2 linked regions of the Arabidopsis thaliana genome follow. The protein of the gene in region 1 interacts with the protein of each later gene in a pairwise test. Each region holds a gene or a part of one and is shown on either strand. Other genes may lie near its edges. The genes, in order: AT5G47060 and PFA-DSP3.

Evidence for each region.
Region 2: the proteins of AT5G47060 (region 1) and PFA-DSP3 interact in a two-hybrid assay, tested with the Arabidopsis thaliana proteins (one study listed by BioGRID).

What each region holds. Positions count from the first base shown.
Region 1 is NC_003076.8:19,114,898-19,119,263, reverse strand, and holds AT5G47060 (hypothetical protein (DUF581)), read right to left. Parts: upstream 2,480-4,366; 5' UTR 2,422-2,479; coding exon 2,069-2,421; intron 1,806-2,068; coding exon 1,625-1,805; 3' UTR 1,047-1,624; intron 800-1,046; downstream 1-799. Other genes in the region: AT5G47070 (Protein kinase superfamily protein), read left to right, coding at 1-4, 111-581. UniProt on the Arabidopsis thaliana protein: May act as an adapter to facilitate the interaction of SnRK1 complex with effector proteins, conferring tissue- and stimulus-type specific differences in the SnRK1 regulation pathway.
Region 2 is NC_003074.8:605,761-610,202, forward strand, and holds PFA-DSP3 (Tyrosine phosphatase family protein), read right to left. Parts: upstream 2,148-4,442; 5' UTR 1,945-2,147; coding exon 1,793-1,944; intron 1,696-1,792; coding exon 1,602-1,695; intron 1,516-1,601; coding exon 1,458-1,515; intron 1,373-1,457; coding exon 1,329-1,372; intron 1,142-1,328; coding exon 878-1,141; 3' UTR 525-877; downstream 1-524. Other genes in the region: AT3G02810 (Protein kinase superfamily protein), read right to left, coding at 2,969-3,793, 3,886-4,283, 4,356-4,442. UniProt on the Arabidopsis thaliana protein: Cleaves the beta-phosphate at the 5-position of soluble inositol pyrophosphates. Has highest activity on 5-diphosphoinositol 1,2,3,4,6-pentakisphosphate (5-InsP(7)), 1,5-bis-diphosphoinositol 2,3,4,6-tetrakisphosphate (1,5-InsP(8)) and 3,5-InsP(8).

The sequences.
Region 1 (4,366 bases):
CGCAGTAAGTTTGGTTTGATATATAAATGTGCATTTTATAAGCTCACTCGTACTTTAAAGTGATGAATCTGTTACAAAGTTTTAACAGTTCTTCTTCTTTCTATGTATAGAGAGTTGGAACACACGGCTATGCGGCTCCGGAATACGTGCAAACAGGTCATCTTCGGTTAAAGAGCGACGTCTATAGCTTCGGTGTTGTGCTCTACGAGATCATAACCGGACGCAGAACCATTGAGAGGAACAAGCCAGTGGCTGAACGAAGGCTATTGGATTGGGTCAAAGAGTATCCTGCTGATAGTCAACGTTTCAGCATGATCGTTGACCCTCGGTTACGCAACAATTATCCAGCTGCTGGAGCTAGGAGTTTGGCTAAATTGGCTGATCTTTGCCTGAAAAAGAACGATAAAGAGCGACCTACGATGGAAATTGTAGTGGAAAGATTGAAAAAGATTATCGAAGAATCGGATAGTGAAGATTATCCGATGGCTACGACTACGACCAAGGAAAGTAGTCAGGTAAGGAGGAGACAAGTTGCAAAACCTGAGAAACAAAGTTTGAGAGGGGTTAGTGTCAGAGGATGATTTTGAGTTTAGAAGTTTTTTTGCAAGTTTATATATTATAAATAAGTTTATGCAATTTGTTGGTTTATTGTGAGATTAGTAGAGAAAATGTATCTTATTGTGTGTTTTGTAAATAAAATTCAATACGGTGAATGAGAATCATTGAGATCAAGTTTTATGAGAGTGTTTTGATGTTGATAGCGTAACGTTTTAGCCAAAGTTTTCTATGTACGAATGCAAATGCAATGTTGTTGTTTGGAATTTATCATGAAAACTTTATACGTTTTAAGCATTATTACATTCTACAAATCTTATTTTAATATATATATATATATATTTATACTTCAATTTATTTGAGTTTCTGGTCCACTGATAATCAAAAAAGATATCTAATTATTTGTTTCAGAAAATATTGTACTACCGATTTCGTGAAGAAAAAGAAAACTGTACTATCAAAAGCATTTGAAGGAAAAAGATATTTTATACCTTTATTTCCCACTTTTCGCAAGTCACCAAATCTTACCACAAAAAGAATCAATTTCAAACTATTGCTCAATCTTATATCAAATCACAAATACGTCATTTAAACTATATAGCAAGTACTTACCAAAAAAAAAACTATATAGCAAGTTAAAAAAAAATGCTTACTCTTGTTTTCTCGTATAATATTCTCATATTTCAACATATTAAAATTTGATTTAACATCTGTATATCCCTCGAAAGACATTGATACCGAAATCTAAAAACAAAAGAAAAAATATAACTCAAACATGCCATGGACTATTATAATTCACATAGGCATTTACATTTTCTCTTCTCATACTCCCAAAATTTCATGTCAAGAAACTATTTTTTTCTTACAAAAAAAGAAAAGAAAATTAAAGGATCTTTAGCTTCTTCATCTTTTTCCCAAGACTTGAAGCTAAAGTTTTAAAAGATCCTTAAGATCTCGAGAGAAAGAGAGAGGATCCAAAACCAGCTTCATAGCGTTAGATACAATATAGCTTATTTTTTTCTTAACCTAATTAATTATAATAATTCTCAAAGTTCCCAGATATTTTTAATTAAGCAGCAGCAACAGTTCCATTGTGAAAAGCATAATCACGAGATCTAGTTGGTGAAGATTGTTCTTTCCTCCGCATAGCTGATTTCACCGAATGAGACAGATTCTGTTTCTTCTCTTTTGCTTCATCTCTCTCTATCTGTTCTTGTCTACACTCTTCACTGCAAAACGGTGTATCTCCTCTGCAAAAAATTCACAAAATCAAAAACTTCAAATCAGACCCATGAAACAACAAAATTAAAAATATGTTCTGTTCTAGAATTTGTACCAAAAACAGAGGAATTTGAAATCAGACCCATGAATCGTTTAATTGATTAATCAGAAGATTGAAGAAATGGGTATTCGAAAAAAATCAATCCTTTCGTAATAATTTCGACTAAAAATGAGAGAAATTGATAGAAAACAAAAAAAAAACAGATCTGATGTTATAGATCTTAGATGTTACCTGTACATGTAGATGTCTCTGTTATCACCAAGAGGTTTCTTACAGAGGAAACACGAGTCCAAGAAATGAGGTTGTTGAATATCGAATCTGAAATCATGAAATCTTCCAGACACAACAGATCTCGGAGACGAAACAGAGTATTGATTGTAATAATAACTCTGACTGTTCCTAAGACTGTTTAATCTACCGTAAGAGAAACGGCTTGAAGAAACGACACCGTTTTGGGGATTTCCATGGTTATTACTATTATTATTGTTACCAGAAAACCCAGCTTCCATTTCTGATAAAGAAGAAGCCAAATTCTCTTCTTCTTCTTCCTCAATGAAATAAGGCTTTCTCGATGAAAGCTCCATTTTTTTTTTTTCTGGTTTTTAGAGAGAAAGTGAAAGAGAGAGAGGTTTTGTTGTTGATGTGAAGAAAGTGTGAAGTGGGATTTTATAGCAAAAGATCTTTTTTTTTTTTTTGGGGTTTAAGAGAGAGAAAGTAAAAACAAGGGGCGAAACTTTGAGAGAGGAGAATCTATTGGCTTTTATGCTATTTTTGAAAGTACAAGAAATCGAAAACCATTTTTGTTGTTTTCCTTTTGAGAAATATACTTTATTGACACATAGAGGAATAATTGATAGAGAGGCGTTACAAAATGGTCTTTTTCGTGACTTACTCGTCCTTCGGTTTTTGAGGAACTTTCGAGAGAGCTAAGTAAAAAAGTTAAATGTTTTTTTTCGACATTCACTTTTTAGTTCAATTATTAACTTTTAATTTTCTTTTTTACTTAGACAACATTATTAAAGTAAAATTATTAACTGATTGTCAATGCAATAATACATGAAGAAGTTGCAAAGTTTGAAAATTTTCGTATGATTAGGAATTACTGTCAAAATTGTTGCATTTTTAACATTATTTTTAAGATATATAGTCGACAAAAAAATTAAGAAAACAATGTAATTATCGTAAATATTTTTTTATGAAATTGATAACTTGTTACTTTACATAATGTGATACAAAAAAAAATTGTTTAAACACACATGAAATCAATAATTATTTATTTATTAATTTCATCTATTTTGGTTTTAGAAATGAAATGATAGAATTTTACTATCTTAGTTATTAATCTCTTGTACAAAAATTATTTTTCTATTAATCATAAATATATCTTATACTAATCAGATTTTTTTAAGTAGTAGTTGGATGGATCCTACTAACAATTTAAAGACAATAATTTCTACAAGCTAATTTTTTAGAGATCAATAAATATATACAGCTATAATTCTACCAGACATTTTAACCACTGTAACTTACGGTGGTGTTACATTGAACAAGTGATCACATCCGTCTAAAGAGAAGTAAACTTTTTCTGAAGGCATTCAAACAAAAGTTTTAAGGTAACAAAAACAAGAAGGAAGCAACAAAATAGCGGCAAGATTGTAATTAACAGAAGTATAAGGGTCACAAATGAAAGTACATAAAACTACATCAGGGTTCCATAAAACAAGGGTCCCACCAGCACTCGAGAGACGTTAAAGAAAATCATGGGGATTCGGGGGAGAGGTGGGCCCTACGCGCGTGGGGTTTTTGGAATAAGCGTTACACCGTAATCACTACACCACTTCTACTACTTGTGTTGTGTTGTGTCTCTCTTCTTCTTATTATATGGCGACAAAATGGTAAGAATATTGTTTTTTACTTAATTTTTTTATTAAATCAAGAATTACAAAATTGTCGTTTTATTTGGTTATGAATTTTCGTGGTGGTGGGTGACGTTTTTGCGAAGACTTTGAGGGAGGTGCTTTGTGAGGTACAACTACAAATAATAGTGGTGCAATGAGGTCGGTGTTTTTCTAATGTTAGAATAGGTGTGTGACTGACTAGTTGTGATTTCGATATTTATGGTAAGTATAGTTTGAATTTCTAATAATAGTGTGGACCTTGTTGAATAGTGGAATCGAAATAACAAATAAGAATTAGTGGAACTCTTGTTTGTATATATTAATTCAATAAATTATGTGATCTATCAATATATGAGAAACAAAGGAAAAAAAAAGTCATTTTATTGTCTATATAATGCAGCTATTTTGTTAAATAAATTATGAAGTTTAGACTTATTTACAATGACTGCCATTTTAATTATTGATTTTTTTCCAGAAATAATTTGATTAACAAACTAAAAATATTCCAAATATATTCCAATCTCATATGTCACGCACATAGTATTCAGCAACTATTTAAAACAATAAATATTTGACAAACAAAAATATAATTGCAATCCCTTAAAATGAACAAAACACACCTAAATACATT
Region 2 (4,442 bases), on another chromosome or scaffold:
AGAATTTTCCCGGTTTTGCTTATTCTTTGTCAATTATGTGTTACATAGTTACATAGACAATGTCAATTATAGCTGCACACTTTTTCATTCTGAGAATGGAAATCAAAAAGCTAAATATATAATAGATGAATATAATATGGCTGTTTTAGTAAAAGAATGCTGCTAATCAACTTGTATTTCTTTAATTATCTTTGAAAACATATTTTTCCTAACACATGTGCTAGATTAGTCATATACCTTGTACTGCAGTGCACATGGTATATATTAGAAGCTGACTCGATACTCTTAACCTCCTCTGTTTTCTCTGTTTTAATAATTGATTTCATACCGAAAGTATACTACCGAATGTTATCTTTTAAAATTCAGTTTGATTGGCTAGAGAGGTTTTCTGGACATAAATCAGTTTTTTTTTTCTTTTGATTTGAAAATTGTACTGCAAGTTCTTGCTAATTTTGATCTAATTTCTACTGGTTTGATTATTTAAGAACTCTTTATAAATGATTAGATTATCGAAGAACTCTTTACAAGAATTTAAAACATGGTATTATTGCTGTACCACTTATATTATTGCTAATGGTTATTCCAAAGAGACTTTGAAGTTTAAACAACAAGATTAAGCTAACTTTAGGAGTTTGACCAATAAAATAAAATAAAGCAACATAAGCATGAATGAGTCATTGAGTTAAAAATGACCTCCCCTGCATCAGATTGTAATGAAGAATAAACTTTCTATACATTTCTATTTCTAAAAAACACAATAAAACTTCTGGTTACGGCTTTTGGGGTAAACTAAAACTTATCCCACTTAAAGAATAATCCAGGCACCGATTAAACTCAAATCAGAACACGGAACATATGCCACTTGGTTGCTCTCTTTTTAAACTCTAGCAGCCTGCGGTTTTGGTGTCTTGACATTCTCTTCTTCATATGCCAACCTTCTCCTCTTGAAGCCATAACCGTGATACTGATACATGATGCTCAAGAGACACTGTCTCAAGCTCACTATATCAAATGCCTCTATAAAATTCAAGTCCCTTTGTCTCCATTTTAAACCCGCGTTCTTCTGGTACTCCTCGAGCACCGATGATAAACACCAGCTCTGAACTTTTCTTAAGCATCCCACTAGACAACCTGTCCTATGCTGCAAGTTCACCAAAAACACCAAATCATGAGTGTCCTGTAAATAACTGCCTATTTCCTAAAGGACCACAAAAAGATTGTGTACTGTGCATAACTAAATAAGACAAGCCAAGACCACCATGAGTGTCCTGTAATAAATAATAACATAGGCTAAGTTCCTAGAAGAGGAAGAAGAAACTGTAAATTACCTTCCCGCGTTTGCAATGTATGAGAATTGGATGGTTTCTCACATCTACAGAGAAACAAAAGATCTACTTTAAGACTCATGAACTAGCTAAGAAGAGACCAAAAAACATTATTGAGTGTTGATTCCTTACCAACTAAAACTTTGAGAGCATCCAAAACTGTATCTTTTGGCATAGGAGTTGGAGGATCCTGCATATCGTAAAAGATCCGAGATAAGACATCAAGGACAATTGCATTTCTTTGACAACAAGCAACAAGAAAGAAGCAAAACGCACCGTTTTGCCTTCGATTCCAAATTGGTAAAGCTTAATGTTGTTAGCCTCAAGAAACTTGAGATTCTCCTCTGGGTATGGTTCAGGACACAGATAACTGTTTTGATGAATAAAAAAACGATTAATTACTCCAATCATAATCAATTATCAAACAGTATAATTGAATAACCCAGAAGATTAATAAAGGATCTTACATGATGGAACGAAGATTTAGGGTTTTAAGGAAACTGAAATTCTCAGGTCGAGGAAACCCAGATCGATAAATTCCATCTTCAACCATCGAGAAATTCGACGGCGGCGCTAAAACATCACCGTTGTGATCATCCGTTTCCATAATCAAACACATCGAATTCAGTAAACCTCTAAAAGAATCAAAAAGAGAGAAACAGAGCAAGACCCGAGATTTGATGGGATTGATCTGAGAAGAAGATGTTTTTATAGGAGGAGAAGGGATCAAGTGGGGTTCATAAAGGAGACAACTTTGAAAAGCGTACTCAGATTTTGGGAGCTTTTGGTAGGATCCTTCCTTCCTTTGTTGATTTGCTTAGAAAACCTTAAATGGATTTTAGGGTGGACCTCACTTCAGGAATCTCCAAGATCCTGACACGTGTCGTTTTCTCTGCTTTTATTTGACCTCATAGCTGACGATTCTTTACGAATCTAATTTGGGTCAATCCTGTAAACATTATCTAATTTTGATTAAAATAAATATTCTTAGAAAGTATAGTGGTCGAATCATGAAAGAAAAGTAAAACTAAGTGGTCTCATTTAAAAATTTTGATTCCACAGACTGAAACTTTTGACAAGTGTCGTTGACAAAAAGATGGAAAACACAAAGACTATCCTTAATTGCAAAAATAGGATAAGAAGTAGATATGTCTTTTATCTATCAGTTTAAGTATCTACTTTAGTATATCCAAATTGAGAATCTAATACTTTCCATTTCCTATGAATAATGTAATATTTGCTCATAGGCTATATGAGTCACAGCTAAGATTGATTATTAAGATTCTTATCTAGGGTTTGATTATCTCATACTTGTTTTTCTTTAAAATGCTAAACTATTATTATTTCATCTACTATTTAAAGAAAAACACAAGTACGTAACATTTTTTTTTAAAGGATTACAAAAGCTGAGATAAGTTTTCTCAATCAGATTATCTGATTATACAACTTGTTTCTTTATTAATCTATCAATCCAAAACATCTTCATCATGTATAAAGAGAGATGGTTATAATTTGTTAAGAAAAACCGTCAATATGTATCTTATTTTAATACCCAATTAAGAATTTTTCCCAAAAATAAACCCAAAAAAGTTTCAAATACTTCTTGTGAGCTTCAACGGATTGATAAAAAATCTTGAAAAATGTCACTCTTTAATAGAATCGATCGCAACATCTGATTTTATCCGATGCAAAGAGCCTCCATTGTCATCTCCTGAATCATCATCATTATCAAAGTAAACACTTTGATCATCATCAGTTTTTGAGCTATCAATGTGTTCAATATGAGTATGCTTTTCTTCTGCCTCTTCCTCTTCCTCTTCTTCTTTCCCTTTCTCGTCTTGATCTCTGTCGCTATCATAACGCGAAGAAGTACTTTCGTCGTTTGATTTTTGGCTGCTTTTACTGCTTAGCCTCTCATCATTGACATCAATATCTTCCCAGCTATATCTATACTTTATCTTCAAGCTTTGCGCCTGGTTCTTCTCATCAATAGGCTTTGGTGGTTGGTCCTTTTCATGTTCAGAGTTAGAATCAGACTCATCATCAGATTCCATTGAGCTATCTTCCTCTTCATGTTTCTTCTTATACTCATTCTTACTCACACTCTCCTTTTCGCTCTCCAAAGATGATTCTTCGCCTGATGAGGTACTAGATTTGTCATCTTCCGTAGCTAGCTCAGGAGGAGGAGATACAAGATTTGAATCATGTCGGCTTAAGGCTATAGACATGCTCTTGTCTTTGAAGGATAAGATAGGAACTGTTGTGGGAATACCATCTTCTGTAGGCATCGAAAGGAAGCTAAGCGCAACCATTACATCGCTTATAAGAGGACGAGCTGATGCTTCCTCTTGCACACACATTGAAGCTATTGCCACTGCTTGGTTTAATCCTCTCTCTGAGAATTTATTCTCCAAAACTGGATCTGCCATATCGGGATACCTCTTCGGATCTCTAAATATCGGTTGTGCCTGCGATAACATGAATTGTTCAGCAAGATAAAAACTTCTTGTTTTAACTTGGTTGAAAAAGTGCAATAATATTAGGGTTTGTTATTTATTACCCAAGAAACTAAGTTCTGTTCATCATTAGGCCTAGTAGTATCAAGAGCTCTTCGACCCGTGATAAGCTCAAGCAACACAACACCAAAGCTATAGACATCTGATTTCAAAGTGAGATTTCCGCCTCGTGTATACTCAGGTGCAGAGTAACCATAAGTTCCCATTACTCGTGAAGATAAAGCCATCATCTTATCACCTGTCCCGGGTCCTAGCTTATGTAGACCAAAATCAGAAAGCTTAGGAGAAAAGTCATCATCTAACAAAATGTTTGAAGCTTTCAAATCTCTGTATATCACGGGTGGATTCGCTTTATCGTGCAAGTAATCAAGCCCTTGCGCTGCAGCATACGCTATCTGCATCCTAGTTGTCCAATCCATCGGATCACTGTCTGCTTTTGGTTCTGCAAAATTCAAATTGTCATTTCTTTCAAAGTAAAAAAAATGTGTTCAATGAGAATCTCTCAATTTAGTACCATGAAGATGGTCTTGAAGTGAACCTCCAGAGATATAATCATAGACCAAAAGCCTTTGATCTCCATCCGCGCAGTAACCAATAAGCT